Arabidopsis thaliana: one gene and its partner. The protein of the gene in region 1 interacts with the protein of each later gene in a pairwise test. Each region holds a gene or a part of one and is shown on either strand. Other genes may lie near its edges.

The links.
Region 2: the proteins of AT2G32020 (region 1) and AT2G40350 interact in a two-hybrid assay, tested with the Arabidopsis thaliana proteins (one large-scale study listed by BioGRID).

What each region holds. Positions count from the first base shown.
Region 1 is NC_003071.7:13,620,765-13,636,851, reverse strand, and holds AT2G32020 (Acyl-CoA N-acyltransferases (NAT) superfamily protein), read left to right. Parts: upstream 1-4,922; 5' UTR 4,923-5,107; coding exon 5,108-5,659; 3' UTR 5,660-5,872; downstream 5,873-16,087. Other genes in the region: AT2G32040 (Major facilitator superfamily protein), read right to left, coding at 1-44, 158-418, 520-668, 768-930, 1,002-1,066, 1,146-1,396, 1,505-1,736; AT2G32030 (Acyl-CoA N-acyltransferases (NAT) superfamily protein), read left to right, coding at 3,611-4,177; CVL1 (CVP2 like 1), read right to left, coding at 8,771-8,993, 9,074-9,222, 9,328-9,436, 9,535-9,728, 9,811-10,540, 10,614-10,718, 10,812-10,899, 10,981-11,049 and 2 more; AT2G32000 (DNA topoisomerase, type IA, core), read left to right, coding at 15,289-15,315, 15,406-15,462, 15,734-15,837.
Region 2 is NC_003071.7:16,842,993-16,859,598, reverse strand, and holds AT2G40350 (Integrase-type DNA-binding superfamily protein), read left to right. Parts: upstream 1-6,795; 5' UTR 6,796-6,914; coding exon 6,915-6,943; intron 6,944-7,530; coding exon of another isoform or gene 7,531-7,538; coding exon 7,539-8,004; 3' UTR 8,005-8,165; downstream 8,166-16,606. Other genes in the region: LAC5 (laccase 5), read left to right, coding at 112-1,095, 1,277-1,407; AT2G40360 (Transducin/WD40 repeat-like superfamily protein), read left to right, coding at 2,964-3,128, 3,215-3,338, 3,542-3,678, 3,773-3,927, 4,007-4,124, 4,216-4,474, 4,566-4,674, 4,762-4,864 and 6 more; DREB2C (Integrase-type DNA-binding superfamily protein), read left to right, coding at 9,749-9,792, 9,932-10,934; PYL6 (PYR1-like 6), read left to right, coding at 13,775-14,422. UniProt on the Arabidopsis thaliana protein: Putative transcriptional activator that binds specifically to the DNA sequence 5'-[AG]CCGAC-3'.

The DNA of each region.
Region 1 (16,087 bases):
TAACTCGTCCCAGAAACTCCGGGGTAAAACCGAGTTTGTTCGTTCTGAGGTGAAATTTGTACCAAATAAAATTAGTTAGAGACTAGTTAATACATTCCAGAGAATATGAAATAAGCCAATAACCATGAAGGCATGAACCAAGTGGAAGAGGACATACGTGAAGTAAAACATTGCAGAATCTGAGTGTGGTGTGGCTTGCCATAAGAATATAAATAAGGTGGGGAGAAAAACATTCGGTTGCTTAATGGCACCCCATAGCTGAATCATGTTCTGCTTTGAGGTCTGAAGAAAACCAGGACTGAGCAGCGTTATATTCTCTTTCTGCCCTGATGCTGGTCTGACCACACGTTGTTCATTCACGAGAACAGCAACTGCTGAAGTTATCAAGGGTAGTAAAGCTGTCACCCCAAATACAAACCTGAGGTATAACAGCTTTTAGAATGCCACTTAGTTAGTTAGCTATGCCACGGAATACCGAAAAAGAGAAAAGCTACTGTTTGCGCAAATTGTGAACTGTACCTCACACCATATGACTCCACCAGGGAGCCGCTAAAGTAGGAACTCACAATTCCACCAAAAGCTGAGGATCCCCAGCACAAAGACTGCAGCGATCCTGACACGCTTTGTGACTCACCACGAGCCCGTTCCACTACCATTGAGTCTACTACCTATTAAAACGTTAACCACTTAATTAATATTTCAATATATCCAACTCTATCTTGCAACTTAACCAAGCTAAGTTAACCAGAATGGATTTGAAAACTTACAACATCAGAAAAGGCGACAGAGAGGGAACCGAGAAGTATACAAAAAGCAGCACTATATTTACTGTCAACAAAACCAGCCATCAAACTCCAAGAAAATGCACCAAGAAGTCCCGAGAGAACTAGATATGACCTCCTTCGATAACCAAATAGAGGCACTGAATCACTGCAAAACAGACCAACTTCCTTAAACAGTTATCACAGTCAAGAGGTATAGAGGTGATAAAGAACTCATACCTGATAAAACCATAGAGAGGCTTAACAAGCCACGGCAATGAAGAAAGACCCGTTATCACAGCTGTCTAGTCAAGAGGTATATATTTGTCAGCCTATAAAGAGATATTCCCATGAAAGTCCAACAAGGAACTACAAAAAGCATACCTCAGCAGGATCAAGATGCAAGTCATCTTTTAAATAGAAACTAACAGCGAGCCTAGCGAGTCCTAAAACACCTTGAACAAAATACACCATTGCTACAGCAACATTATCTGGTGATAATTCAACACCGTAGAATTTGATTCTGCTGCTACTAAGATTTCTTCCTTTACGAGGGGGAGGCTGTGTTCTAATACTAGAAGTAGTATCTCTGTCTCCTTCTACATCTGTATTCGATGTATCTCCTTCAGCTACACCTATTCATATACACACATTTCTGAGGATTCAGTTAATGGAGCTTCGATACTTGCAAAACCTAATCCCAAATGCCAATTTCTGAGGATTCTGTTGCTTTAAGAACTTACTGATTCGAGAATCTAAAAGCAGGCTTTCCTCAGAATCCCGCCGGCGAGGAAGCTCCGGGATTGAAACTATGGAGGACATATCTCTATCAGGAGGTCTCTTACGAATCTTCCGGCGTGATAGTCGGTGAGATCGAGCGGCGATAGCAAGGCGTCGTCTCTCGTTGTTGATGGATGGCAAAACTGTAAATTGAGAAGGTGAGATTGAGATAGAGAAAAGAGAGCGACTCGCCATTTTAATATTCGTTCTTTTTTTTTTCTTTCTTTTCTTTAAATAAACAACACTCCGTCTCTTGCGCTACGTAGATAAATTAATTTTTCTTCGTCTTTTTTTTCGATTGATAAATTAATTTTTGATTTTTCTCATGAACTATATTAGCAGCTTATTAAATTTTTATTGACAAAATATGTATTGAACCTTATATTTTAAATAATTTTGAGTTTTAATGTCTTTTTATGTGATTTATTGTAAAAAAAAAAAATCAAATTCCAGTAAAAATATGAGATTTGAATTTTTATATATGTAACTAAATAAATCTTTTTAAATTTTCTCAAATCCTTTAAAATTAATAAAGAGGTGTATTAGATCTAAGTGTGTCAAAATGGGTAACACAACTCAACTCAACTCATAATCAAATGAGTTTAGGGTTAAATGAGTTATGGGTTGATCCAACTCATTTTGTTAAATGGGTTAAGTCAACCCATAACTCATTTAATTTAATGGGTTGAGTTGTTAAATGGGTTAACCCATTTAAGTAATAATTTAATTAATTATTATTATAAAATAATAATAAATAATTATCATTATTAATTCATTATCATCAAAACTTAATATATTTACGGATTCCACTTTTTACGGGTTTACGTTTTTGGCGGGAAAATCTCGGGTTTACGTTTTTGGCGGGAAAATCATGGATTTACGTTTTTGGCGGGAAAATCACGGATTTACGTTTTTGGCGGAAAAATTACGGGTTTACTTTTTCTCAATTTCATCGCTTGTATATTTAAGAAATTTGGAAAAATATTAATTTTATTAAATTGGTTTAGATGTGTTGGTTAGACTTAAATTGGCATTGGTTTAGAGATTTTAGTTGGTTTAATTCAATTTTACAAAATTTGATGGGTTAATTGGATAAACCATTGAAACCATTAACCATTACAACCCAACTCATTTTACTCATCAAACCAATTGACTCATCAACTCATTTGACTCATCAACTCATTTGAGTCAAAATTTTCAACTCATTAGGGTTCATGGATTGAGTTGAGTTGAGTTGAGTTGACTCATTAATTTGGACCTTACAATTTGAGTTTTAGCTAGTTTTTATATGAGTTTGATGATTTTAGGAAAATTGATGTGATTTATTATAAAATATTTTAAAATTCTATATAAGACCATGAATTTCGATTTTGTTATTTTTAACTAAAGAACTTTCTCAAATCCTTCAAAATTAATAAGAATCAAATCTACCAATTATTTTCAATAACAATAGATTTTAAGATAGAATTTTAAATCTTTAGTTCAATAATACTAGATTTCATTAAAGTTTTTCAAATCCATAATCGAACAACATAGAATTTATAAATTTTACACAAATCACTTAAAATATTAGATTGAATACATTCTTATAAAAATCAAATCCATAAATTATTTTTAATAACAGTGAATTTAAAGGTAGATTTTTAAATTATTATTTTAATAACACTAGATTTCATTAGAATTTTCAAAATCCATAATTAAATAACATATACTTGTAAAATTTACGAAAGTCACTTTAAATACTAGATTGAATATACCTCTTTTAAATCAAAAACGATGAATGGATGGTAAATATACGGTTCACCCATACCCATTATAAACCGTCTTTTTCACACCTTCCATTCAACAAGAACTAATTGTTGCGTATTTGACCGATCGAAGCAAGAAGGAACGTTCTGTTTATTTTCTTTTTTGTTAAAAAAAAATCAGTATTTAAATCGTGATTTGTAGAAGAAGTATTATCATAATGCCTCTACACAAATCTGTAAGAATTGAGAGAGATAATTTATTTTAAAGAATCCCAAAGAAGCTTCAAAGACTCAAAAAGGAAAGTAACCAAGAAAAAGTCAATGGAGATGGACTCAACTACTACGATCAAACCGGAGACCCTATCCACCGTGAGTTCCTCACCTCCGGAGAAAATCCATCTCCGGCCAATGACTCTTTCCGACGTCGACGATTTCATGGTTTGGGCCACTGACTCAAACGTCACACGCTTTTGCACGTGGGAGCCTTACACTAGCCGAGAAGCCGCGATCGCGTACTTAAACGACGCTCTTTTGCCACACCCTTGGCTTAGAGCTATATGCTTAGATAACGACCGTCCGATTGGCTCGATCTCCGTAACGCCAGTCGATGAGATCAGAGGAGAGATTGGTTATGTCCTCGGAAGCAAGTATTGGGGGAAAGGGATCGCCACTGAAGCGGTGAGGCTTGTGGCGGGGGAGATATTCAAGGAGAAGCCAGAGATGCAGAGGCTTGAGGCACTTGTTGACGTTGACAATGTTGGATCTCAAAAGGTTCTTGAAAAAGTTGGGTTTGTGAAAGAAGGTGTGATGAGGAAATTTATGTATCTTAAAGGAAATGTTAGAGATATGGTCATGTTTAGTTTCTTGCCTTCTGATTCGTTGCACTGATCTGATTTGAATTAACAAATATCAAATATATATATTAAGTTTGTTTGATGTCGAAATTTATATTTTGCTTAGTTTGTAAAAATCACATGTATAATTTGATGTGATGCTCTATCTTTCTTCTTCTTATGTAATTGTTAGTTGTAACCTTATATATTAACTATTTCATACAAAAGTTATTTTTTATAATTTGAGAGTAATGTATTTACTATTTACCATGTTCACTTCACCAAATAAAACAAAGCTTCACTATCTCAGAAAAAATGTAAGTTTATATTGAAAATTAAAAGTACAAAATGAAACATGATATATATATATATATTTTCTTTTTGAATCTAAACATGAAATATTTTATACAATAAAAAGATAGTGTGATAGCTAGTTTTACAGCGATAGATGAATGGAATTCTGATAACATTCGATTAATTAATCTTTAGCTAAATTACTTAATCATACAACATGTTGAGTGACTTGATTCTTGAGTTGATTTTGACAGTATATAACAAACGATTACGATCATTTGCACCACAAATATTAACAGTATTAAAATATTTAATCCATTTAGAATAACTTGAGAAACAGTTAAATCCTTTTTGGGAATCAGACCACACACGATTTGACACGTGGCATTGTGGGCATCCAACTGGAAGCAACACATTAAGTTCCGAAACCAGAACAATACTTTGTTTGGCAACCAAGTAAGTGTCGAAAGTCCAAGGTCAAATATAGACAATTATCCACTCACACGATGACACCTCATCTTATGTCGTATATTTAACACTAAATACACTTATCTATAGCAAATGGTAATATTTAGTGTTTTTTTAGTCAAAAGCAATAAGGGAGAATCTCAAAGTTTTTCAAGATCGCGATGTGTATAAAGACATCGCTTAGACGTAGTGATATGATATCTAAAACAATCACTAATCCTAAATGGAGATGGACTCAGAAGAAACTAATCCAATAATGAGCTCTTCGCCTCCGGGAAGAATATCTCTCCGGCCGATGACTCTTTCCGACGTCGATGACTACATGGTTTGGGCCACAGATCCTAAAGTGGCTCGATTTTGCACTTGGGAGCCTTGCACGAGCCGAGACGAAGCTATCAAATACATAACCGATCGTGTCCTGACACACCCTTGGCTCCGAGCCATCTGCTTAGAAGACGACCGTCCAATCGGCTACATCTTGATCATGGCGGTTGATAACATCAGAAAAGAGATTGGTTATGTCCTAGCGAGAAAGTATTGGGGAAAAGGGTTTGCCACGGAAGCAGTGAGGCTAGTGACCGCGGAGGTATTCGAGGAATTTCCAGAGATTGAAAGGCTTGAGGCACTTGTTGATGTGGACAATGTTGGATCTCAAAGGGTTCTTGAAAAAGTTGGGTTTACTAGAGAAGGTGTGATGAGGAAGTTTATATGTATCAAGGGAAGTGTAAGAGACACTGTTATGTTTAGTTTCTTGTCTACTGATACTTTGAAGTAATTAATCAACAAAAAGATTAATTAGCAATTCTACATATATATGTTGGATTTAGTGTATGATTCATATACGTAATACATGATGTAAACACTCTGTTTTTCATTTGCCAAAAAAATCTATAAATCCTACATTGTAAATTACGAAACAATTAAAGTCAGTGCATGAGACAGAAGTGAGGTTAGAGGGATCATCCGATTACAAATTGATAGGTAGAGAAGAGTTTTAAAAATCAAAGGTTAATAGAAGCGTATAAACGAATAATGTAGAATGTAAATAAAACAATGGGATTCGTCCTGTATCCATAAAAAGGTTCACATACTCATCCAACAAGCAAAAGAAAAAAAAAGCAAAACATCCCATGGTCCTTGGGATGAGAACTTAAGAGCCAGACCAGCTTTGTTAAAATAACACAGGATATTAAAAGTATTTGTAAAATTTGAATTATGAATTTATGTAATTCAACAAATTTACTATAAGTAGTACGTAATTAATTTATTATGATTTCTCCATATTTCTTAAATTAAAGTAAACAATCTTTAGATTCCCCTGAGTTTCTTCTTCTTGTTGGAAAAATGAAGTTTACTCGTGCGTAATTCGTTAAGAGAGAAGCCCATGTGGCCCAAATTTAGGGCCCGTGTAGTGGAGGTTTCGTTATAAAGAATCTAGTGAGAAGTGAAGTGAGCAATTTCTTTTCTTTTTTTTTTGTTATGAAGAAAATAATCTGGAAATAAGAAATTACAAGAAAAAATGGATTTTTTTGGGTAAAAAAAAGAAGAAGAAATCAATCATCACTGTGCTTGTGTGAGGCTAATTTCGTTTCCCACTTTCAAAGGACTAAATATATTACTAATACAATTTATTTTAACTTCTGTGGTAGAACTAAAATATATTTGGCCTATAGATACACATGCATATCAAAAAAAGTTATTTTTAGGTTATGTGAATAAAGACTCCACTCCGTTCAATATGTCTGACCAGTCAGTCCATATAGGATATACGCATATAGTATGAAACAATTTATTAGTATTTGAAATCACTATGTAAGTATGTGATATTTTCTGTTAACCAACAAAAAAATTAGATTCATTTACTAACTAGCTCACTAAACATATGTTTTTAGGAATTAAAAATAATCTTAGCTCCAAAATTCGATAAGACTATATAGATATTTTACCTTTAAATAGGTACAAATTTGGAATGAACCGCAACATTTATCGAATTAGATAAAATATCAGAATGTCCACTCCTGTAAATCATAGCTGATGGACTTTAATTTTAATAGGATTGGAGTAATAGTTAAAGGTATTTAAGTAAATCATTTCGATATACACTTCTTGTTCTGGACCACATATTCCATTCCATTTTTATTTATTTGTTAATGTTAGGTAAAAATAGGGGTTTTCATGAAAAAAAAAATAGAGCTGATCATTGTCTCACTTCACATTGTACAAGAATGTTTTTATTTTATTTTTAATTTGGGTTTAAAATAAATAACCCAAAAAAAAAGGGAATTTAGAAGTGTTGTTGTAATCACGAAAGCTGAAACAAGAGAAAGCATGAGCAAATAGGAAAAAGAGAAAAGCATGAGATTACACAATACACTCTCTGCACTTTCATACTCTTTTTCAATCATTTCATTCTACATTCACATCTTTACACTATTCTCTCTCTTACCTTTAATATTTCAAAACATAATATACAAATTTCATCTGATTAAATTACAGCTTATATACTCAAACTAATGATTGAAAATTATTAAACCTTTTGCACGCAGTGCTACAAAAAATAATGCAAAGGTATTTGAATGTTGATATTTTGACTAATTGCTTACAATTATAACTCTTTATGAGATTGCAGAAAAAATAAAACTAATCATTGAATTTCTGTATTCCAATACATAGAATCAGAGAATGAGTGAGCTTCGAGGTTATCAAGAAGCCCTAACTTTTTCAGTACAAAGATCATCACAAGACGTTATCTTTTTATTCTTTTCACTTTTCCTTTGTAAGAAAACTATCATAATGAATGAAATAATTGCTTTTGCTGTATAGTATTTTTGTTACACTTATTAAACGGCTAAATCTTACTTATACAACAAGCATTACACTATCATTGTCTCGGGAACACACTTCAATTTACAATAATAATATTATCAAAAACTATCCCTAAAAAGACTGATGAAGAACTAAAAAAAACCTTCCATCTGTCAGTTTAATAATCCTGCACAAAAACAAGTTTTATTAAACTGTTGTTACCTTATGAGTAGAATCAAACTGAATTAAATTGTGATTACAAATTAATTATTACCTACACTGTAAAATTTACTTTTAACTCCTACTCCTGACATGATAAATGAAAGAACCGGTTTGATATGCGAAATTCTATTAACCAAGACAAAATTACAATCCTTTATACACCTGTAAACCGGAAATTCAACCGTTAAAATCAATCGAAACCGAACCGGAAACAGACATAGGAAGAGAAGTTGGACCAACCTGTTATTTGTTTCCTTTGTGTTAAAAGGAGCAATGAAATGTCTCCATCATCCACTCCTCAAGGCTTCAACATTCGAACAAAAAAAACTTTAATTGACCTGACAAAAGCCGAAACAAATTATATACCATAAGTGATATTAATATGATGAAGAATCATATACAATTATAACTCTTTATGAGATTTCAGAAAAAAAAGATCACACAACAAATCTTGGTGTCAAGAAATCTTCCATCATTAATATTATTGCTGATGATGATGCAGAGACAATATCTTATCACATTTTCGAATCGAAAACACGAAAACAGATCGCTTTAACGGGTCCATTTTTATCCAAATCAATGTGATGTGCCTTAAATGATATGAGAGGAACGTGTGGATTATACTTTTCTTGGCTGATACATAATAAATGCAGACCTGTCTCATTGGACTTAAGTCTCTATTTTGAGTTTCAGGACCACAACTATTACTACTAGTCTACTCCTACTAATGGACTACATTGGCTTTGATCAATGTCACTGACACTACATTCTATCTGCTATCTCCTAATTTTATGGTTAGAATTATAAATCTTATGAAAAGGAGATGTTACCGTAAAGAAGAAGGCTTTTCAATTTTCTTTTAGAAAAATGTTAGCTCGGTGTATCCGCGGGCGTAAGGTAAGAGTTCTTCAGCTTCGACCCGTGCAGTGGAGTGACTATTGGTTCGCTTTGATCTCTTGTGATTTGACTCAACCTCTGCGCTGAATATGCCATAAACCGGTCTATGATCAGAAAACCGTGACTCCCCTCTTACATAAGATAACTGATGTAGTCCTTCTCCATGCCATAGTATTCGATCACACCTTTAGTAACATAACCAAAAAATACCATTTTTAGATCATTACTTGGTTCTTGTTTATTATTCTGATTGCAAGAAACTTACCAAGCAGGAGTACGACGTTTCTCCTTTGGATGCAAATCACCTCCTGCATATCTATCCGAGTTATTTGAGTATTTGTAAGTTGGTGGGAAGTATATCTTTCCTTCGTTCCATCCTTTAAACACATGTCCTCGTTTCTGCTCTATCCGTAACTGCAGTGAAAACGTTTTCAAATGTTTTGGATTAGACCATTCTATAAAGTAAAAGTAATGTGAAACTCTATAGTCTCTATTGCTTTATTTGTCTACTACGTATACCTGATCGTTCTCTAGTAATGCCCTCCAGTTTTGCATCTCGACAAGTGCTTTTGCGGATCGGTAAGAGAGTGCTATTCGGTAGTTCAGATCCCCGAGCCATATTACCCGACTAAATCAAATGGAAACAAAGACAAATGAGAAATGTAACAAATCATGAATCTTAAGCAAATGATTCGATTCTTGTCATTTCTTGATGTTCGGTCTTACTCATGCTGAAGGATATTCTCAGGGGACTTCTCGTCCGCAGAACTCTGGACTCGAGGAAACCTTGTTTTCTTGAGTATCTCCATGACATCGGAGTTTCTCCTTAGCTCATCACCTTCTTTTTGTCCCGAGGTCAAATGGGTGCACACAAAGCAGAAGCTTGTTTGATGAAGCAACATACTAATTGAGATTGATCCCTACAAGAACCACAGAAGCACATTATAGCAATGCACTAACTAACCAACTAAGTCAAGCGGTAACAAACATAAGATTTTTTACCTTATTTCCGAGATAACCCATTAATCCTCTACCAACACAAGATACTTTCATGTTCTTGACGTGTTCTCGTAACTCGCTTTTCACCCAAATGGTTAAAAAGATACCAACCATCTGTTTACTTGCGACCAAACAGTACTGCGATGAGTTCCACGGGGTTCTGTAACCGTTTTCGTTTGCTGCAGAACCAAGAAATGACCCCGGTGAATTCAAAAATGTGCTTGGAGAATCCCCTGGGCCGTTATCATCATCCGAGGAGCCCCACCTGGAAACATCACTAGGCCGAGAATAGTTACTCGGCCTAGAGTAATAATCACTCGGTCTAGAGTAATCACTAGGCCTTCTTGAGTAATCACTAGGCCTGTGACCACACCTGAAGCTCGGGTCAAAATCACTTGGTCTATGACTGAAGAATACGCGATCACACACGCTGAAACGACGGTCAAGCCGTGGTTGTGAGATCGAAGGGTCATTCTCCTCCATACTCCATACGCTCGGCGTCTGGAAAGATCTTCTGTTGAAGAAAGTCTCGTTCTTTTGCCTTGAAGATCCTGAGAAGTCAGCATCAATCTCTGCAATGGGGACAGGAATAGGCGATGGAGTATGGCATGCACTGCTTGCTCCGGGAAGGTTATTGAGCGTTTTCCTGATGAGTGAATGCCATTTCTTAGCAGGACCATTGTCTTCAGCTCCAAGAACATTACCAGCATTAAGAGGAACAATCTCTTGGAACCTAAAAGAACACACAAGATAAGTAAGAACAAAAAGAGACATTCTTGAAAAGAAGATGTAAAATGGAAACACACCCGAGAACGTATATATCTGCAGGAGCTGAAGAATGAAGCCATTCGTCGAGGTTTAAATCTTCAGGAGGAGAGCGTCCAGCAACGTTCCATGTAGCTACGAAGATGCTGTTCTCAAGAATCACCAACATGAGATTCTACTAAAATAAGTCACATATGTGTGTGTGTGTGTGTGTGTGATTGTGTTCATATATATGTTACCTGTGGTTTTGGACATCAATGATTCTGGGATTTTCATAGTTCATTTTCCTTTGTCTAGCTTGCTGCTCCCAGTTCTTATTGAGTTTTTCTGTGAAACTCAGAAATCATGAGACCAAAGAAGAAAACTCTCTCATAGAGAATTTGATCATATTGGTAAATGATTATATACCAGTTTTGCTCTTCTTGATTGTGCAGGGCTCTCTCTCTGAGAAGCTGTTTCTGTGCTCAACTTCAACTCCTTATTGAATAAAAGATCAGAATTTGAAATCAGTACATAACAAGCCAATTGCTAATTCTTTAATTTCCACAGAGAAGAGTGGTTAAAGCAAAAGAAACAGTAACTGTCAATTGACCCCAAAAGAAAAGAAAGAAAGTGAAACTGAGATGTTTTGTTTTCTCAGAAAAGACAAAATATTACAAATTAAAGCTCTGCAGAACAGAACAAAGAAACAAAATTTTGACAAGAAGTAGACTTTTGGTTACCTTGAGGAAGAGAAACATCTGCTTGAAACTTTTCAGTTTTGCTTTTGATGTTGAACCATTTCCTCACCATCTTCTTGGACCATGACAACTTCATTGAAGCATAAAAAAAAAGAAGGTAAATGAAACTGTTCATCTGTAAAATTCATGAAAGATGGCAAAGAATTGAAGAAACATAAAAACAAACCTTGCTTTTCTTGGTTTTATCGTCTCTCATTCTTGCTCTTATTTGATTCACTGTTTGTTCTTGAGACTCAATCCATCCAAAAAAAAGAAGACAATAGAGATCAAATCAACTAATTTGGGGTTTTTAGTTGAATCACTGTTTAAAAAGAATTGACAAGATTTGGCTTCTTTCTTGTCCTTTGATTGAATCAGACAGAAGCTAAAGTAAAGACAAGTTGGATTAGGATTAAAGTGTTTTGTGTCTCTCTACTAATGCTCTCAGGGACAGGAATTAGGAAATGGGTATAGTGTTTTGAGACAAATGAGAAGTGAAGATTGGTTTTCAGAATAAGAAGGAAAAAAGTTGTTGGAAGAGACAAGAGTTCTTGAAGGAGGAGGCAAAGAAGACAATGAGAAAGATTTTGGAGAGAGAGGAAACAAACAAAAGTGTGATTTGAAGAGAGAGTGGTGGTTTAAGCTTTTCTACTTAGGTCCTGAATCTTCTTCTTCTTCTATGAAAGAGAAAGAGAAAGAGAAAGAGAAAGAGAGAGAGTGAGTGAGCGAGCCTCGTTCTCAGTGAAACGGCAAAGTAAAAGCAGAGGATTTTGAACAGAATAAAGCGCAGAGAGAGAGAGAGAGAATGAGAATGAGCTTATTATAAGGAACCTTCAATTCTTAGATTAATCAGTAATCACTTTTTTTTTTTTTGGCTGAGTCTAAAATATTAATTAGTCAAAAAAAGTTTTTTGATTTGATTAGAAGAAATTAAGGGAGGCTTATTCAATTGTTTTTGTTGTCTTTCCTATTGGTAATGGTTTGAATAATTAAATATTGTCCTTAACGATTTTGTGCTTCTTGGTCATAAACTCATAAAATATCCCTATTTTAAAATTTTGATTAGTAGTATTTCATTTTCATATGAATCGTCTTAAAAATATGCTACTTGTTCATGTTTTAGTGATTTCTTTATTTTCATCACTCACAACATTGATAATTTTTTTTTACGTTTTTGATAAATGATTATTTTGAAAATATGTATATTTCGTATTTGTATTTCTTGTCGTATATCCTTGTATACATGCTTAGGGCAATGTTTTATATAGGCCTACATCTCTTATAATATAAATCATTGGAAATCCACAGAAATTTCCATATGTACTTCCATTTTCTTATAAAACATCTTGTCTAGGTTAATAATACACTATTATATTTTAATTTTTAAATAATGATTCTGAACAAAATATAAAAGCAATAGTAATTATGTTTGATGTGATTATAAAACTAATACTAAATAACTAATAAATTTATTTTGAATTAACTCCTTCATAATCAACTTAAGAATATGAGTGATGCTAGGGAATCGAGAGGTCTGTGTCTGTGTCTTTGTATCATTAATAGGTCGAAGAAAACCTATAAGGTAACAAGATCATGACGGATATTAAATCATTAGACCAAACACACACGCAAATTAACAATCATTTTGAAAGTTTTCAGTTTGTAAATGCTAAACGATGTGATCAACGTCTATAACCAAATGAGCATTACATAGCCTTCCATTCAACAACAACTATAGAAAAGAGGATTAATTCCACACAACTATACACAAGCATAAAGCAATTAACTAATTATATAATACTCACATATATATATATATATATATATATATATACATGTGTGTGTGAACTGTGAAATGAATTGTAAAACATGATGAATCTTGTTTGCTTTTGACTGCCTCGTAAATGTTGAAATTTTAAGGATATTAAAGGGAGTCTTCCAAATCATTTTGGATTAGGAAGGAGCAAAAAGTTAATCATTATATAGTATTATAGAATCAACTAATGATGCATAATACTACACTATTATAAATTTATAATATAGCAAAGTTTTTCTATAGTCATGCTTTTACCGTTTTTGTTACTTACATACTTCTTGTAGAAAACATCTATTTGCCATTCAACTGCTTAACAAACGTGTAATTTTATCTGAAAAAGACGCCCACGTTTAATTTCGTTGGATGACAATGACTGTATACATGTATACACTATTTTAATCTACGATTGGTTTATATAAGTATACATATATTGTATAGTATATGCATGGATAGTCATTGTAGTTATAATATCGAAACGGATTCTTTTGCTTTAAAAAAGACAAAAATAATTAAATATTTGGATAGGATGGGTTTTGGCTTTTAGAAGGCCAGATGCCAAACATGCCTTCATCATTTCGTCTTTCCCATTCCAAGTCCCTGCCTCACAATGTTGGTCTTTTTCTGCTTTGATTTTTCGTACGTCCACCTTAAATTATTTTCTTGGTAAACCATATTAATTATATTACTTTATATCATAGTATAAACTGTTTATGGTCTATGCCGTTAGGGTTCACTTTGATGCGAATCTATGCAAATATGTATAACTGTATAAGGATCACCAAGTAGTTCTATCGTTTTTTTGCTAATCACTTACCAAATAACAGAAGTTCACTACTGTAATATATGTTGAATTAAAAAACATAAAAGGGTATCATAAGATAAACAAATTAAAATATGAGATAAAAAAACAAACTAAACAAAACAAAACTACAGTGGTTGGTTTTCTACATGATATATCCATATAGAAATAATTTGCCGCCACATCAATAAACGATCTTCCCACGAGTCGTTTCTTCGTCAGTCCACTATCACACACACGTTGTCATTTATTCTGAGTTGTATTTAACACACTTTGAGTTTTTGACCTGACTTTTCGATTTTCTTATATATTCAAAACGAAATTATACTACAAAAAGTAGAAGACTATTCACAACATTGTCAACAGAATTTCTCAAAATAAACTGTTGTACTCGTACGCGATAATGGATATATGATATATCCAACGTTTCAAAGATATCATCAAAAATATTAGGGTTTGTTTCAAAGGAAGAAACACTTTTTGTCAACAAAGGCTCAAAGCTCGCTCACATCTGTACACATATGATGATATGATCTAGTATTTGTATCATATATATGAGCATGCATGTGTATGCACTGATGCACATAACACAGACTTTAGTAGAGTATCCTAGTATCTTATGCTCAAACAATTGTGCTCCAAGAAAAGAATAATGATATAGTTTTTAAAACTTGGAAATTTCACAGAATCTATAACTTAATAAGTATAGCAAAATATAAAAAGAAACAAAAAAAGCCGAAAAAAGAAAACATATTGAAAGGGAAAGATGATATGTCACTACAACAAGACACATTACCCTTTATTGTTTGCTTTTTACTTTGTCTGGTAGACCAAAATCTAGGACTAGGAGGGATGGGAAATGTAAATTTTAGTCAGTATTAAATGTTTGGATTGTGATATCGTCTTTACTTATCGAGCATGATTTTTGCCAAATATATCTCCTATATATGAATGGACACGATCAAATTCAAAGAAACCTTTTGATTACATCGCATGTTATTAAAAAAGCTTAGCAAATCCTATTTTTATTCGTTTACGATTTTAAAGTAAATAATATAAACTCAATCTACTCTACCTTTTTCGGATATTTAAATGTAAATCACACATACACAACTTACTCTATTAAACAAGAGAAATACGATTTATGGATTCAAGGAATTTTGTTGGGAATTTGTTCAATTTTACGGTATACAAAAGAACCAAACCGAAACCAAACCGAATTTTAAGATGTATACTAAACGATGCCGTTTAATATATAGGAAAAAAGCGGTGTATAGTCGTCGTTTCTCGTTTAAGCTGATTTTAGTTTCCGTCGCCGGCTAAAAAGCTCATTCGACGCCGCCTGAGCTTTGAGTTTTGACCCGATTCTGACGTCTTCTTCAATGGCTAATCTCCTCAGAGTTCTTATGGTTAGTGAACTGGGTTCTCCTATTAATCAATTTCGATTCTACTTCTCCCATCATTATTTCTTCATCTCTTACAATTCTTCTTTTCATCAGGTGGCGGAGAAGCCCAGCATTGCCCTCTCTATAGCTTCAGTTCTCTCACATGGCCAGGTTTATATACCTCTCTATCTCTATCGATTCTCTAGTTTCTAAAAGCCTAACTGCAAGTAGCTTTGATTTTAGTACCGGAACTGTTGTGCGTTAATTCGATTCTTGTTGAATTAAGAGATAGAATCAATTGAAGTATGCTCAGCTCTGATGGATTCTTTAACGTAGCTTTGTTGACTGGATTTCACTTTTAAAACTTCAGTATCCTTTAGAGGTTAAAAACCGAATCAGTTGTGTGTGTTCCAACTTGGATATCTTTCTCCTTCTGATTCAGATGTCTACAAGGAGAGGCAGTACAGAGGTGCATGAATTTGATGGCATGTTTCGAGGCTTCAAAGCACATTATAGAGTTACATCTGTTATCGGTCATGTTTTCAGGTTCTCTCTTGCCTATCAATCATATTCAAATCAAAGAGTCATCTGCTGCTGCATAATCACACTCCCTGTATAATACGCATATTCACGTTTCTCTTTTTCTTGCTGCCCTCGCGAGTTTGGAAAATGGTTTTCATCTTTCATTATCTCTTGGACTATATCTCGTGTACAAAGCTGCTGTGAAAACCATTGCTTGCAGACATTCCAAATATTTCAAAGCAGATTTCTCAGTCTTTCTAAATACCACTCTCAT
Region 2 (16,606 bases), 3.2 Mb from region 1:
TCCCAACTGTCATAACTGACTTTGGTATCTTTTAGTCAAAATAAAACACATCAGCCCAAAAGACTCAAATAAGTATATTAACTAGACTTTTTTATAATCTTTTGGTTACAGATACGACAGTAGTACCAATAAATGTTGGTGAGACTATACTACTACGAGTAATAAACTCAGCATTAAACCAACCGTTATTCTTCACGGTGGCTAATCACAAACTCACGGTGGTCGGAGCTGACGCGTCATACCTAAAACCCTTCACCACTAACGTGATAGTTCTTGGCCCGGGACAAACCACAGATGTCCTCATAACCGGTGACCAACCACCAAATCGCTACTACATGGCCGCAAGAGCTTACCAAAGCGCCCAAAACGCACCGTTTGGAAACACAACCACAACAGCAATCCTTCAATACAAATCCGCCCCTTGTTGCGGTGTAGGCGGCGGAAGTGGAACCAAGAAGGGTAATTCCTTCAAACCGATCATGCCTATCCTCCCTGCCTACAACGACACAAACACCGTCACACGTTTCAGCCAAAGCTTCCGGTCACTTAGACGAGCTGAGGTTCCGACAGAAATCGACGAGAATCTCTTCGTAACCATCGGACTCGGTCTCAACAACTGTCCTAAGAACTTCAGATCAAGAAGATGTCAAGGTCCTAACGGCACACGTTTCACTGCATCGATGAACAACGTTTCATTTGCTCTTCCAAGTAACTACTCACTCCTTCAAGCTCACCACCATGGGATCCCCGGAGTCTTCACAACCGATTTTCCGGCGAAGCCTCCGGTGAAATTTGATTACACTGGTAACAACATAAGCCGATCTCTCTACCAACCTGATAGAGGGACTAAGCTATACAAACTCAAGTATGGATCAAGGGTTCAGATTGTTCTTCAAGACACAGGTATAGTAACTCCCGAAAACCATCCCATTCATCTACACGGCTACGATTTCTACATTATCGCCGAGGGTTTCGGTAACTTCAATCCCAAGAAAGATACCGCGAAATTCAATCTTGAAGACCCGCCTCTCAGAAATACTGTCGGTGTACCTGTTAATGGTTGGGCCGTCATCAGATTCATCGCAGACAACCCTGGTAAGCTAAACTATTAGTATAAAAATACTACTAGTTATCATTCATTACAAGTGTTACTTATTTTTATCCAAATTTCTTCGCTTTTCAGTTTAGCTATAAAATTTACATGATTCGTTAATTTATTATATATATATCGAGACTAGTCCCTAAACTAAATACGTGTAAAAATGATTGAAAACAGGGGTCTGGATAATGCATTGTCATCTAGATGCACACATATCGTGGGGACTAGCCATGGCTTTTTTGGTTGAGAATGGAAATGGAGTTTTGCAGACAATAGAACAGCCTCCTCATGATTTGCCCGTTTGTTAGGAGTTCAAGAACTTTGTAACATAAAACCACATTATAGTTTTTCATGTTCTTCTATTCAATTGTTTTTTGTTGGTTATAGACGTAAACCGGGTCATACTCCTGAGTTGGCCCGGACCCTTCAGATTAAGTTTTCTCGATTATTGATGTATTCTTTTGACATTATAGTACCAAATCAAGTGCTAAGAGCCTAAGCATACGTATCATGAAAGTTTATTTTTTTCGTTTTTCTTTATGCTTAATTGACCCATTACTTCGATTTCTTTTTTTTTGTTAAAAGGTTTCATTCACTCGATTTGTGTATGACTAAGAGCATGAATTTGATATGTTAGAATTAGAATGAATGGTTGTTGAGCTAAATTCCTACTTATTTCCATAATCAGCTTAGAACTTTTGCGATCATAATAAACAACATAATTTGTTGGCGTAATATTTGCTGAGTCAATATTGAATGTTGAAGTTATAAAGAAAGAAACTTATCCTAATTCCATTTTGTTTTAAAACGCATTGCTATGAATTGATGAGTATTATTCTTTTACGTAACATTATTGAATTTGAACTTGAGAAGATGATAACGAAATTAATTGAAAAAGAATAAGTGAATATGACATCAAGAAAAAGTGGCCTGAAATTCCAAATTAGTTGAGCAGAAAAGTTTGGGGCAAAGTGATTTCCGACGCGGATTAATCATAACATCGACATTACTAGAAGAAACAAAAGTTGTCATGACTTTGTTATATTTTTGAGTACTCAGAGGGCTAATTTTATAACAAATGTAACAAATGATAATAATAATATAATTCTTACACATGCATGTTGCCACTAATCTACCGAAATATTAGAGTAGACAAGAAATTAACGTGTAATAATTTGTAAGAACTCCGATTGTCATATTTGATTTAATCCATACAAAAAGGTGAAAATCCAAACTAAATCTTACCGTAGAAAATAAAACTTAGGTCGCGAGTGTGAGCTTAGCTATAAACACGCAAAATATATAAAAGAATAATTGATCTTTTACATGATAGATATTCATAAATTTTTAAGGCATTTGCAAACCAATTAAATACTAAAATAAATAGCAAACTAAACTCATTTGTCATCTTAAAACCTAACATATATATTTTAAAATTCACTAACCAGATAATATCTATTATACAAATTTTAATAATTGTTAATTTATATTGGCGAAAATCATGATATATAACTATTATCAGACACTTTAGAATTGGATCAACCAAGAAGAATAAAAAAGTTTTAATCACAACCAAAAAGTCTATTTGTCGTTTTCACTTTTCACCATTCATCAAACACCACCACAAAGGTTTTAAATTTTTTCTTTTATCGTCTTCACGAAAGGCCCATTAGTATATAGGTCCATTATCTAAAACCCTAAATCTCTTGTTACGCATTCCCATGCCTTGTTCAATAAAAAATTATTCTCAGGCCCATTAGAGAGTTACGACTTCAACCTAAAACCCTAAATCTCTTGTTACGCATCCCCTTGCCTTCTTAAAACAAATTTCTTCTCAGGCCAAAACTCGCCTCTGGAAGCTCCGATGACGAAGAGGAGCAAAGGAGCTAACGAAGATAAGCTGATAGAAACCAAAAGCAAAAACGTTTCTGGAAAATCTCAGAAACAGAAGAAACCAGTAGAAGCAGAAAGCTTAAAAGAGGAAGACCTTCTACAAGCATCCGGAACTGATTCTGATTACGACGGAGATGTATTCTTCTTGCTCCTCTTCTCTTTTGTAACATCTTTATTCTGCATTTGATTTATTCTGGTTTTTTTTTTTTGGGTGATTTTTAGAGTTTGCCTGGTTCTTTGAATTCCGACGATTTCGACTCCGATTTTTCCGATTCAGAGGATGATGGAACACATGAAGGAACAGAAGATGGAGATGTAGAATTTTCCGATGACGACGACGTGCTTGGTACTTTTCTTACTCTGCTTTTCGTCTAAATTAGCTCAAATCTTAAATTTTTAGTGTTTATGCTTTTGAATTGAAGAAGCTAATTATAGTGTGTTAGAAAATACTTGCGGGAGTTTATAATGGGGGAATAAAGTTTCTAGCTTTAACATGGGAAAGTAAATTCAAGTAAGAGAGATTAACTATGTTAGGATATGTTGGTGCAGAGCATGATGGGTCAATTGATAACGAGGATGATGATGGAAGTGAACATGTAGGTAGTGACAATAATGAGGAACATGGGAGTGATGAAGATTCTGAGCGAGGTGAAGCGGTTGAAGAGAGCGATTCCTCAGAAGATGAGGTTTGATGCTTTTCTCTATCTCATATTGGTCTTGAATCTATCTTTCTCCATTTCCAGATGAAGTTATAGATATTTTTGTATCTTTAATCTGTAGGTTCCATCTAGAAATACAGTTGGGAATGTTCCCTTAAAGTGGTATGAAGATGAGAAACATATTGGTTATGACCTCACTGGGAAGAAGATTACTAAGAAAGAAAAACAAGATAAACTCGACTCTTTTCTTGCAACTATAGATGACTCTAAGACTTGGTCAGTATGAAGACTTTTCTGTTTGTTGGTATGTGGTTAGTTGGTGTCATAATGCTGATGAAAGTTTTTGGGGATTTAGGCGCAAAATTTATGATGAATATAATGACGAGGACGTTGAGCTGACTAAAGAGGAGAGCAAGATCGTTCAGAGAATACTCAAAGGGGAAGCTCCACATGCGGACTTTGATCCATATGCAGTACGTATCTGTTTTATGTGTAGCCGTTTTCTACTAATGTTATGCAAATCTCTTCAATTTGTGACCTTTTGATTGATTCTCTTGGGACCAGCCTTATGTTGAGTGGTTCAAACATGATGATGCAATACATCCACTCTCAAGTGCACCAGAGCCCAAGCGAAGATTCATCCCTTCAAAATGGGAGGCCAAAAAGGTTGTTAAGATTGTTAGAGCAATACGTAAGGGGTGGATCAAGTTTGATAAGCCTGAAGAAGAGCCCAATGTATACCTTTTATGGGGTGATGATTCGACATCTGATCAAAAGAGCAAGCATTTAACTTATATTCCTCCACCCAAGCTTAAATTGCCAGGTGAAAACTTTTCGCTGACTTTCTGTTGTTTCTCTTCCTCTCTTGGGAATTCCGTTTTCAAACTTTTAATTTGTACTATTTGGCTTTCCAGGACACGATGAATCATACAATCCTTCTTTGGAATATATTCCAACAGAGGAGGAGAAAGCCTCATATGAGTTGATGTTTGAGGAAGATCGTCCAAAATTCATTCCTACAAGGTATGTAACAGTTTCGCTTATTCTACTCTAATGTAGTTTCTTTGGTATTTGTCCGCTGAGCGTTTCAGTAAATATATCTGCGCATAGGTTTACATCTTTGAGAAGCATCCCTGCGTATGAGAATGCACTGAAGGAGTCTTTTGAGCGTTGTTTGGATCTATACCTATGTCCAAGAGTTCGAAAGAAGAGAGTGAGTACTTATCATCTCAGTTTTTGGTTTCTTCTTTGTTTTTCCCGTATTTTTTCTTACATTATGTTTCTTTTCTCCAGATAAACATCGACCCTGAATCTTTGAAGCCTAAGCTACCTAGTAGGAAGGATCTTAGACCTTATCCTAACTCCTGTTATCTTGAATATAAAGGCCATACAGGGGCTGTTACTTCAATATCCACTGATAGTTCTGGCGAGTGGATAGCCTCAGGTATTTCATTATTTTTTTTTTTTTTCAATGAGGTCTCTTTTGTTTTCAAGATGCTAATCTTGTATTCTTTTTTCCTTCAAAGGTTCAACTGATGGATCTGTCCGTATGTGGGAAGTGGAGACTGGTAGATGCCTTAAGGTCTGGCAGTTTGACGAAGCTATCATGTGTGTGGCTTGGAATCCTCTTTCCAGGCTTCCAGTTTTAGCCGTTGCCATGTGAGTGAGGATCTTGTGAATATGCTTTTGAATTTATTATAATTGTCTGTTGTGAAACCTTCTCATCTCACATTGCAGGGGACGAGATTTGTTTTTTCTGAACACTGAACTTGGGACTGATGAGGAACAGGAAATTACTAAAGAGAGGCTTCACTCAGGAAACATCCCAGAACCAGACGCATCTGGTAAGTGGCTTGGAATAACTGCCATCATCTCGTATGTAATTGTGATGAAATTCCAAATGATTAAATCTTTTTGGTTGGTATGTTTTGCACGACTTCATAGTTGCAGCAATTGTAACCTGGCTACCTGATGAGTTATATGGAGGGATTAAGATAAGACATTTTAAGGTACACTTTTGCAAAAGATTCTCCTTTTAACAGTTATTACATAAGGAAAATCTTAAACTGGTTTGTTTACTTTCAGAGCATATCGTCTATTGACTGGCATCGTAAAGGAGACTATCTCTCAACAGTGATGGCATCCGGGGAAACACGGGGAGTGGTATTGCACCAACTGTCAAAACAGAAAACACAAAGGCTCCCATTTAAGATTCGTGGACTTCCAGTCTGTACACTTTTTCATCCCAGCCTTTCTTACTTCTTCGTTGCGACAAGAAAGGACGTGCGTGTTTACAATCTTTTGAAGCCAGGCGAGGCCACCAAAAAGCTTGAGACAGGATTGAGAGAAATCTCATCAATGGCGATTCATCCTGGTGGTGATAATCTGATAGTAGGAAGCAAAGAAGGGAAGATGTGTTGGTTTGACATGGATCTATCTTCGAAACCATACAAGACTCTCAAGAATCATCCTAAAGACATTACAAATGTGGCAGTTCATCGATCATATCCGTTATTTGCTTCGTGCTCGGAGGATTCAACAGCTTATGTTTTCCATGGAATGGTGTATAATGATCTGAACCAGAATCCTCTGATTGTGCCATTGGAGATTCTAAGAGGTCATTCTTCAAAAGGAGGTCAGTTTTTACAGTGTATTTGATTCTTACAAGAATACACTATCGCATATTAACTTGTAAGATCGTTTATATTAATGTGTTTTGATTATTTTTTATGACTGCAGGAGTCTTGGACTGCAAGTTTCATCCGAGACAACCATGGCTATTCACTGCAGGCGCTGACTCTATTATCAAACTCTATTGCCACTAGATTGGTCGCAAACCATATTTTGACAATTTTCATCTCTTTTCTTCTTTGTTGTATTCACCACCTTTACTCAAATATTGTATCGTACAATTTTGTTATACTGGATTTATTATTGAGATTTCTAACTTGTAGCACTTCCAAAATGGTAAAGTCCAAAATCTTATTGTATCGATTTATTTGGCAGCGTTGGTTAAGTTGTGGCAAGTCCTTAAACCCAAATGTTGATTTGATAGTTTTTTAACGTTCACTCACAAGCGCCACGTCATCACCGAAATATCTGAAATATCTAATAAAGGCTTCTTCTTTCACAAATCCCAAACCTTTTTTTTTCTCTGCTAACGAAAAAAGCCATCTTCTTTGCTACTACTAATCTACTATTACACTGAATCGTTTGGGTTCTTCTTCTTCTTCAGCTGCTACTTTGTTCGAGTGATTGCTGACATGCCGTCAGCGTCGGAGATTGTTGACAGGTTTGTTTGTCCGTTTTTTTTGTTTTTGTTTTCCCGCTTGTGTATGTGTGCTAATTGTTCATTGTTAAAGATTTTGTTTTTACAGGATTGTTGTTGTTTTTGAGTGGTATCAAGTTCCTTAAAGTAACTTCTTTTGTTTGTTTAGTAGTTGAAAGCTAGAAGGTTTTCACTTTAGGGTTTTTGGGGTTTTTCGTAGACAGAAATTTGTTAATTTTGGGCACAATTTGTCTCTTTTGGATTACGTTCTGTGCGATTTGTGGCTTCGAGTTCGTGTGGGGTTAAGAGACTTGGAAATTAGAGGATCTTTAGCTGGAATAAACGTTAAATGTGGTACCTTTCCTGAGTTTGCTCTGTTCTAATTGTGGTCGTGATGGGGTTTCTTTTTATTCGCTGTGATGCTGCAGATTGTGAAAAATTCTTGTAGCTACTTCGGTGTTGGTAGATTCTGTGATGCTTAAAAATTGTTTCTTTGAAGGTGCTTTGATCCCAAGTATAGTTGAACATGTTGCTTTAAATCTTGTTAAGAGAAAAAATGGGACTTGCTTCTGTGCCCAATAGTTCACGAGCATGTTGCTAATCTTGCTTCTATGCCCAGGAAACGGAAGTCTCGTGGAACACGAGATGTAGCTGAGATTCTAAGGAAATGGAGAGAGTACAATGAGCAGACCGAGGCAGATTCTTGCATCGATGGTGGTGGTTCAAAACCAATCCGAAAGGCTCCTCCAAAACGTTCGAGGAAGGGTTGTATGAAAGGTAAAGGTGGACCTGAAAATGGGATTTGTGACTATACAGGAGTTAGACAGAGGACATGGGGTAAATGGGTTGCTGAGATCCGTGAGCCAGGCCGAGGTGCTAAGTTATGGCTCGGTACTTTCTCTAGTTCATATGAAGCTGCATTGGCTTATGATGAGGCTTCCAAAGCTATTTACGGTCAGTCTGCCCGACTCAATCTTCCACTGCTGCCACTGTGTCAGGCTCGGTTACTGCATTTTCTGATGAATCTGAAGTTTGTGCACGTGAGGATACAAATGCAAGATCTGGTTTTGGTCAGGTCAGACTAGAGGATTGTATTGATGAATATGTTCTCCTAGATAGTTCTAGTGTATTGTTAATCGTAGTTGACTATTGTGAGGTCTTAAGTTGTAGATTGAAAATGAGATAGCTCATATGGAGCTTTATTGAAATGCAAGAAAGTAAACAAAGGAAGATCTTTAGATTGTCACCAAGAGTGGTCTGAAACTCTCATAACACTCAATCCTCCTCCTCCTCATCACCACCACTACAAAATATTATATTCTCTATCTCTCAATCTATGAGGAGATGTATTCTATCAAGCATTTGAAATGATAAGAAACTGGCGATCATCCTCTACGTCACCATCACTCCAAAATTATCCTCTTTCTAGGTTTAAGTTTTGTAATGATCGCCTTTATTTGTTGAGATCTCTAACTTCTCGCATTTCCAAAATGTTAAGTCCAATAACTGCATTGGTTAAGTTGGGGCGTTACTAGTCGGCTTAAATCCAAATATGGATTTGATTCCATATGTATGTGACAGTTTCTTAACGTTCATATTACAATGAATGATGGATCCTTGACTAGACAAAGAGAAAATGGATTGTCACTTCGTAGGAAAAATAGAAATTCTCCACGAAGGCTGGTCTCCTTTATTTAACGACAAATTCACTCATAGTCTCATTCACAATTTGAACTTGTCTAACACAATGTGTTATATACTCGCGAAAAGAAGCATAATAGGCTCTTAAGGGTAATCCACGAAACCAAAACACATATAAAACATTAATATTTTTCTCTAAATTTATTCATATCAATAATAAAGTTTACAAAAAATATAAAACAATAATCCATACTTAGCCCATAGCTTCGTGTGGAAGAAGACTTGATTTTTGACTAGTCAACGAAAATGAGTAAATGACGTATTCAGCTATAGTAAAAGGGATCATAAGCGGAAATTACAAAGAAGCTTTGAGGGTAAAATAGTCAAAAAGCATAATCAGAAATAACTTAGGCCCAAAGCAAAAAGGAAAGGACTCTGGATCCAGCCGCAAATCAGAATCTGGTAAGTTCGAACGCCACGTCATCACCTAAATATCTGAAATATCTAATTAAGACTTGTCTATATATAAAGGCTTCTCCTTTCACAATCCCAAACCTTTCTCTTCTCTGCTAACGAGAAAACAAAAGCTATCGTCTTTGCTACTACTACTACTACTATTATTACATTGAATCCTTTGTGTTCTTCTTCTTCAGCTGCTACTTTGTTCGAGTGCTTTCTTACATGCCGTCGGAGATTGTTGACAGGTTTGTTTGTTACATTTTTCGATTTTTCTCCGTTTTTTTTCCTCTCTTCTGTATGTTTGCTAAATGTGATTGTTCATTGTTAGGGTTTAAGATTTTCTTTTTATCGATTTTTGTTGTTTTGTGTGTATATCCTCCAAGTTCCTTTGTTTGTGTAATAGGTGGAAGCTGAAAGGTTTTTCAATTTTAGGGTTTTTGGGGTTTTTTGTTGACTGAAATTTGTTAATTTGGGGCACAATTTGTCTCTTTTGGATTGAGTTCTGTGCGATTTGTGGATTCTAGTTCGTGTGTGGTTAAGAGACTTGGAAATTAGAGGATTTTTAGCTAAAATAATCGTTAAAGGTGGTACCTTTCCTGATACAGAAGTTAGATTATGGATTCTATGTTGAATCTTTAGGTGATTCTCTGTTTCTGAGTTTGCTCTGTTCTAGTTTCTTAATCTGTTCGTGATGGAGTTTCTTTCTTGCTCGCTGTGATGCTGCAGATTATGAAAACTTCTTCTTGTAGCTACTTCGGTGTAATTACGTTCAGGTGGTTAAAAATTGTTTCTTTGAAAGGTGCTTTGATCCGAAGTATAGTTGAACCTGTTGCTTGAAATTTTGTGAAGAGAGAAAATTGGAGTTCTCGAGCATGTTGCTAATCTTGCTTCTATCCCCTTTGATTCTACCAGGAAAAGGAAGTCTCGTGGAACACGAGATGTAGCTGAGATTCTAAGGCAATGGAGAGAGTACAATGAGCAGATTGAGGCAGAATCTTGTATCGATGGTGGTGGTCCAAAATCAATCCGAAAGCCTCCTCCAAAAGGTTCGAGGAAGGGTTGTATGAAAGGTAAAGGTGGACCTGAAAACGGGATTTGTGACTATAGAGGAGTTAGACAGAGGAGATGGGGTAAATGGGTTGCTGAGATCCGTGAGCCAGACGGAGGTGCTAGGTTGTGGCTCGGTACTTTCTCCAGTTCATATGAAGCTGCATTGGCTTATGACGAGGCGGCCAAAGCTATATATGGTCAGTCTGCCAGACTCAATCTTCCCGAGATCACAAATCGCTCTTCTTCGACTGCTGCCACTGCCACTGTGTCAGGCTCGGTTACTGCATTTTCTGATGAATCTGAAGTTTGTGCACGTGAGGATACAAATGCAAGTTCAGGTTTTGGTCAGGTGAAACTAGAGGATTGTAGCGATGAATATGTTCTCTTAGATAGTTCTCAGTGTATTAAAGAGGAGCTGAAAGGAAAAGAGGAAGTGAGGGAAGAACATAACTTGGCTGTTGGTTTTGGAATTGGACAGGACTCGAAAAGGGAGACTTTGGATGCTTGGTTGATGGGAAATGGCAATGAACAAGAACCATTGGAGTTTGGTGTGGATGAAACGTTTGATATTAATGAGCTATTGGGTATATTAAACGACAACAATGTGTCTGGTCAAGAGACAATGCAGTATCAAGTGGATAGACACCCAAATTTCAGTTACCAAACGCAGTTTCCAAATTCTAACTTGCTCGGGAGCCTCAACCCTATGGAGATTGCTCAACCAGGAGTTGATTATGGATGTCCTTATGTGCAGCCCAGTGATATGGAGAACTATGGTATTGATTTAGACCATCGCAGGTTCAATGATCTTGACATACAGGACTTGGATTTTGGAGGAGACAAAGATGTTCATGGATCTACATAAGATTTCAAATTTCGTTTGACTGGCCTAAGTTTGTGATTCTGCTCCGAGACGGTGTAGCTGTTACTAGCTAGAAGCTGCCCTTCTTTGAAGCTACTGATACTTTCTGATATTAATGGTTGTGAGACGTAGTACATGTAGTTAGGTAATGTAGGACAAGTTCAAATATGATTCCTTCTTTCTTTTTCTTGTGAATACATATGACATATGAAGAAGTTCAAACGTTGGGTTTAGAAAAAGTTTATAACATTCGGTACATATCAAAGTTTTGAACTTCGGATGCATATAAGCTATAAAGTTTTGATCTTTGAACTTTGGATACTCTCACATCTAATTTTCATCCTTAAGAATGGAGATGGAATAATGCGATGTTGCGTAGTGGTTTTATTGACTTGGCAAGTTTTGATTATTCAAGAAACTTGGCTTAGTTTAATGGAAATATCCAGTAGTGGAGTTTTTTGGTCTGCAGACTTTCCTCAGGTTGTCTGAGATTACATAAGCAATGAGGTATGAATAATAAAGTTATCATTAGAGAGTTATCTATCTGTATTTTCTACAAAAGGCAAATTGGGTATTTGAAAGTGCAAATGGGACATAGTTGTATATTATTTAAAAGGCTTTAACTATTCCATTCTGGTCTCCAAAATCGTTTTTCTTGCTCGAATCTTGAAGATCTTCTAAGCCTTTAGAAAAATGAAGAAATCAAGTTGGCAAACTGTTAATTAATTAAATCCAATGAATTGGTGGGTATTGCACCTCCACAAGTTCCCTTTGACAATGTGTCCTCTTCTCCGCAAGAATGAGATGCAACTATTTTGGACAATTTCTCCTTTTAATTACTTTTTGATCGATAATCTTCTCTTAATATCACGTTGTAATCTGATTCATTCAAATATCTATCGAAATTTAAGCTTATCTTTGATTTTTTCGATACTTATTTTTGAAATTTTAAGTGCATTTTGTTTATAATCATAGTTGGGGATTTAATAATTTTAGGTGGAATAATATTTTATGCATATTGGAGATTTATTTCTCGAGAAATATTCACAAACAAACAAACAACCGGCTTTTGCACAAAAATAATAATGACATGGAGTCGAGTTGTTTATACTAATGTTTGTCACTATCTCACCATTGGAATTTAAATCTTGGATATATAATACATGTTTTGACAAAAAAAAAAGTTGGCACAAATTATGTTGTTGTAACAAAATACGTCTGATGCATTGATTTGAGATTGACTCTTTGAACCCAAAAATGTATCACCGTAATATTAATACATTTTCCACATCAACTTGTAATCTATTTGTGTTCAGTAATATATTGGTGAGTGATTATGTCACCTAACCCGAAAGCTTATAAGATGAGCAATCTTTATATCGAGGATGGTGCAAAAAATAGCAAATTGTAACTTTTTGTCCTTCTTATTCTATAAAATGTCAGATATAATTAGTACTGCAAATTGCTCGCTTATTCGTATTAATCTTAACAACTAGGGCTACTTGGGAATATGTATAGTTGTTGGAAAAACTAATGCATTAGATAACCCTTTATTATTTTTCCCAATTGTGTTTTGTTATTATGCCCACCACTCAAATCCAAGAGTCCAATATATTCATATGATTTGAATATACGTTTGTGGAAGAAAACACACCCAAGAAATATTGTCCAATTCGTAAATTTCCCTGACTTTACGTTGGTTACTTTTAGCAAACTGCTTAGTTTGATTTTCTTCTAATTCGTCTTATTAATATTCTGTTCTTTTCTTTGTTGAAAAGGAATTTGATTAATACTTTTTTTAGTATCGTCGAAAGGCTCAAGTTGATTACAAGATGAGGAAAGATTATTATGATGGACCCATGACATGATATCTTCACCAACTTGGAACATTGAAAGTCCTATGGAGTTATTTTTGAAATTTTTACCTTAGTCAGAAGGTTCCAACAAAATTAAAAATCCACCAAAAACGCATCCAAGAATAGTACCAACTGAAAATAGATCGGCAATCACAAAGACAAAGGTCGGTCCTCCCAACCAATTTGTTTCAAGAATTTTTTCAAACCTATGCATAAATTAAGTATAGCTCTTAACCAATATATATAGCTTAACCAACTCGACACATAGTGATCATGTTCTTATAATCTTTAATAACGTTTTAGAGTTAGCTATATATATAGCCTCGAGACAGTAGAAGATTGAAATATCTATGCAAAACCTCAAAGATAATGTTCAATGTTTTTATATTCTGAATATTGATATAATCGGTGAGATAGAGATGAGTTCAGAATTTTTTTCTCGGTATCTTAAATGATATTGATTTCATTTTCTCAACTTTCATTCAAGAGTGTTTTTGGTTAAAACATAAAAACGTCCATTCTAATTATAGTAATGCTTGTGTGGTTACGACAACATGCTCATTCATTGTAATAAACTGGTGAAATATATAGCACCATTGACAAATAGACAGCCTCAGTAACAAAGCAAGGAAAAACAAAATTAAAATTTAATAACCGGTTATATTAAATATCGAGAACCAGTCCGTAGAATTTCATGGGAAACCGGGCCGGTCCTTGATATAAAGAAAGAGAGAGACGTTTCTTAACTGAAGCAGTACACAAACTCCAAACAAATCCCAAGTGGACAACCGAAGAACCCACACAAACTAACTCTCTTTCCTAATCCACATACTTGCATTTTTATATATAAACACTCTGTCCTTATATAGTTCTGTATATTACATGTAAATATCTCTCATTAATACAACCTCACGAAGAAAACCATTTGTTTTCTTAGAGAGAGCCAAGAATATTAAAAGAGATATAGAGAAAAGATTTGCTTTAATAATGCCAACGTCGATACAGTTTCAGAGATCCTCCACCGCCGCAGAAGCAGCCAACGCCACCGTAAGAAACTATCCCCACCACCATCAGAAACAGGTTCAAAAAGTGAGCCTCACGCGCGGGATGGCTGATGTGCCGGAGCACGTGGAGCTTTCCCACACGCACGTGGTTGGTCCTTCTCAGTGCTTCTCCGTCGTGGTACAAGACGTGGAGGCTCCGGTTTCCACAGTCTGGTCGATCCTAAGCCGCTTCGAACACCCTCAAGCGTACAAACACTTCGTGAAAAGCTGCCACGTGGTTATCGGAGACGGTCGAGAGGTTGGGTCGGTGAGAGAGGTCAGAGTCGTCTCTGGTCTCCCCGCGGCGTTTAGCTTAGAGCGGCTTGAGATCATGGACGATGATCGCCACGTCATCAGTTTCAGCGTCGTTGGTGGGGACCACAGACTCATGAACTACAAGTCGGTGACGACGGTGCATGAGTCGGAGGAGGACTCCGACGGCAAGAAGAGGACACGTGTCGTTGAGTCATACGTCGTTGACGTACCGGCGGGTAACGATAAGGAAGAGACTTGTAGCTTTGCTGATACTATAGTACGGTGCAACTTGCAATCGCTGGCTAAACTCGCCGAGAACACTTCTAAATTCTCGTAATTACATTTTTTCAATCTTTTTATTTTTATTTTATTTTCTATATTTCTCTCTTTCAAAATTTATCTTTTATTTTTGGGATTCTCGAGGTGGTTTTGGATTTTAAGATTTAAGTATTTAACTATCGTCGGGGATTTTTCGAAACTAAAACAAAAAACAAGAATTATATCAAACAAGATGGTTTTGGTTTTTCGAAGTTAGGGTTTTTAGGGTCTGTTAAATGTATGTCTCAACGATACTTTGGTTTTACCCTTAAAACCATTTCTTCTTGTACAGCTCTCGTAGCTTTATTATATAAACATTGATTGTTTAGTTATTTTCATAATCTTCTTCTTGCGCCGTATTTTACATATTTATTATTTGTCTTTTAATTTAGTTAATCATGAAACAATATAGACTATATAGTGATTCAGCTATAATGCATGGGGTATATTGTTACGATATTTCCGATATTATTATGTCTAATTTCATTAATTTTGATAACCTACATAATAATGTATTACACAAACAATTTGATTAATATAATCATTGGCATATCTACTATATATGAAGAGATCTGAACAATTGTGGGCAATCAGAAAACCCATACATGTGCTGATTGAGATGATTCGTTTTCCTTTATGTTAAGAGAAGAACAAAGTAAAACTATACATCATTTGAATTTTATTGAAATGTATAAACAGTAGAATACTACTTGGTGTTTTAAATGAATTTGCTCACCAGCTATATAATCAAAGCGTTCAATCCTAAAAGCAAAGATGGAATAATATCAATTAGTGATAATTAAACTTGAACCAAGGCGTAATGCATGTATTGAGTTATGTGATATAATCTTAAGAATTTTCTTTATGGCATATATAATGCTAGGCCAAAATAAATGGTGTCAGGTAATACAGCATTATATCTTTAATTCCCTAATTTGGAAACGTAAAATTTTCAAATTATTTGTCATTTCATCAACAAACTTTACATAAATACGTAAATGTTTTGTTTTTACTCACCAAAAAAATAAATCAAAATTATTTACATACCAAAATGATAAAATTTCTTAGTTCCTTTTATAGTTTTGGGATGCGTGAACCGTTTCAATAATTCAAATGTCAAAATTATTACTTTTTCGGATTTCCTTGTCCTATATATTAGTTCATGAATAAAAATGTACATTTGAAAAATCAAATAACTTTATCTAGTTATATAAATATAAAGAATCCAATGAACAAGATGAAAAGACATTCAAAGTTTGCAAAAGCAAAATGTGTTTAGTTACTTTATAATTAAGTAGTAAGATTTCGAGACTTGTGAACCAAATTCAAAATTGAATACATATATAGACATTCATGTATATGATCGTACGTAAAATGCAAGTTGGGGTGTAATAAAATCCAACTTGTTATAGAAAAAAAACAAAGCATGCAAGTTGCAAAGGAAAAAAAAAAAAGTCGCTACTATTCTTTGACACCTTTAAAAAATATTCCATAAATAAAAAAAAGGTTAAAGAAAAATCAAATTGATTACATAAATGATTATTAATTTATTATCATAATGAGTACGAAATATATATGTAAACATTGTCGTGGAAGGAAGGAATTGCAAGTTGATATGCAAGTTGGCAAGGAGGCTATTAATGTTTTCCCTCTTTTGGTCGTTTGTATAATGACATTTAAACCCACCCACCTTTCTTATTTTCTTTTCTGTCTTCCTATTTCTGATCACTATTATTATATTACTTATATTTTATTTCACATTTTTTTTAATTTTATAAACCCATAAGAAATTTTTTTCCCTTTTATTTACATATGAAAACATATGTATTCCCGTGTCAAAAAAATGAAAATTCTGACCAATCCAGAGAGATACGATTTATGGGGTTTGTATATTCCAATGTGGCATGTTGCATATAAACTACTACTATTTAACTAGTTTCTTAATAATTCAAATCCAAATAAACATGCATAAAAGATTGTGATAACGTACATAGCTGTGATATAATATGCATTACTTTTAAAAAGCAACGGAGATAGTTCGTATTTTCATATAGTCTTTAGCTGGGCTATCTAACACTTTAACTAATTAGAATAAGATATAAAGTTTGCTATAAAATGTAAATAGATGATTTATCCAATATATACATATGAGTGTGTCTGAAAAAGGCAAACCAAATTCAATGTAACGTGAAGAACACCGCCT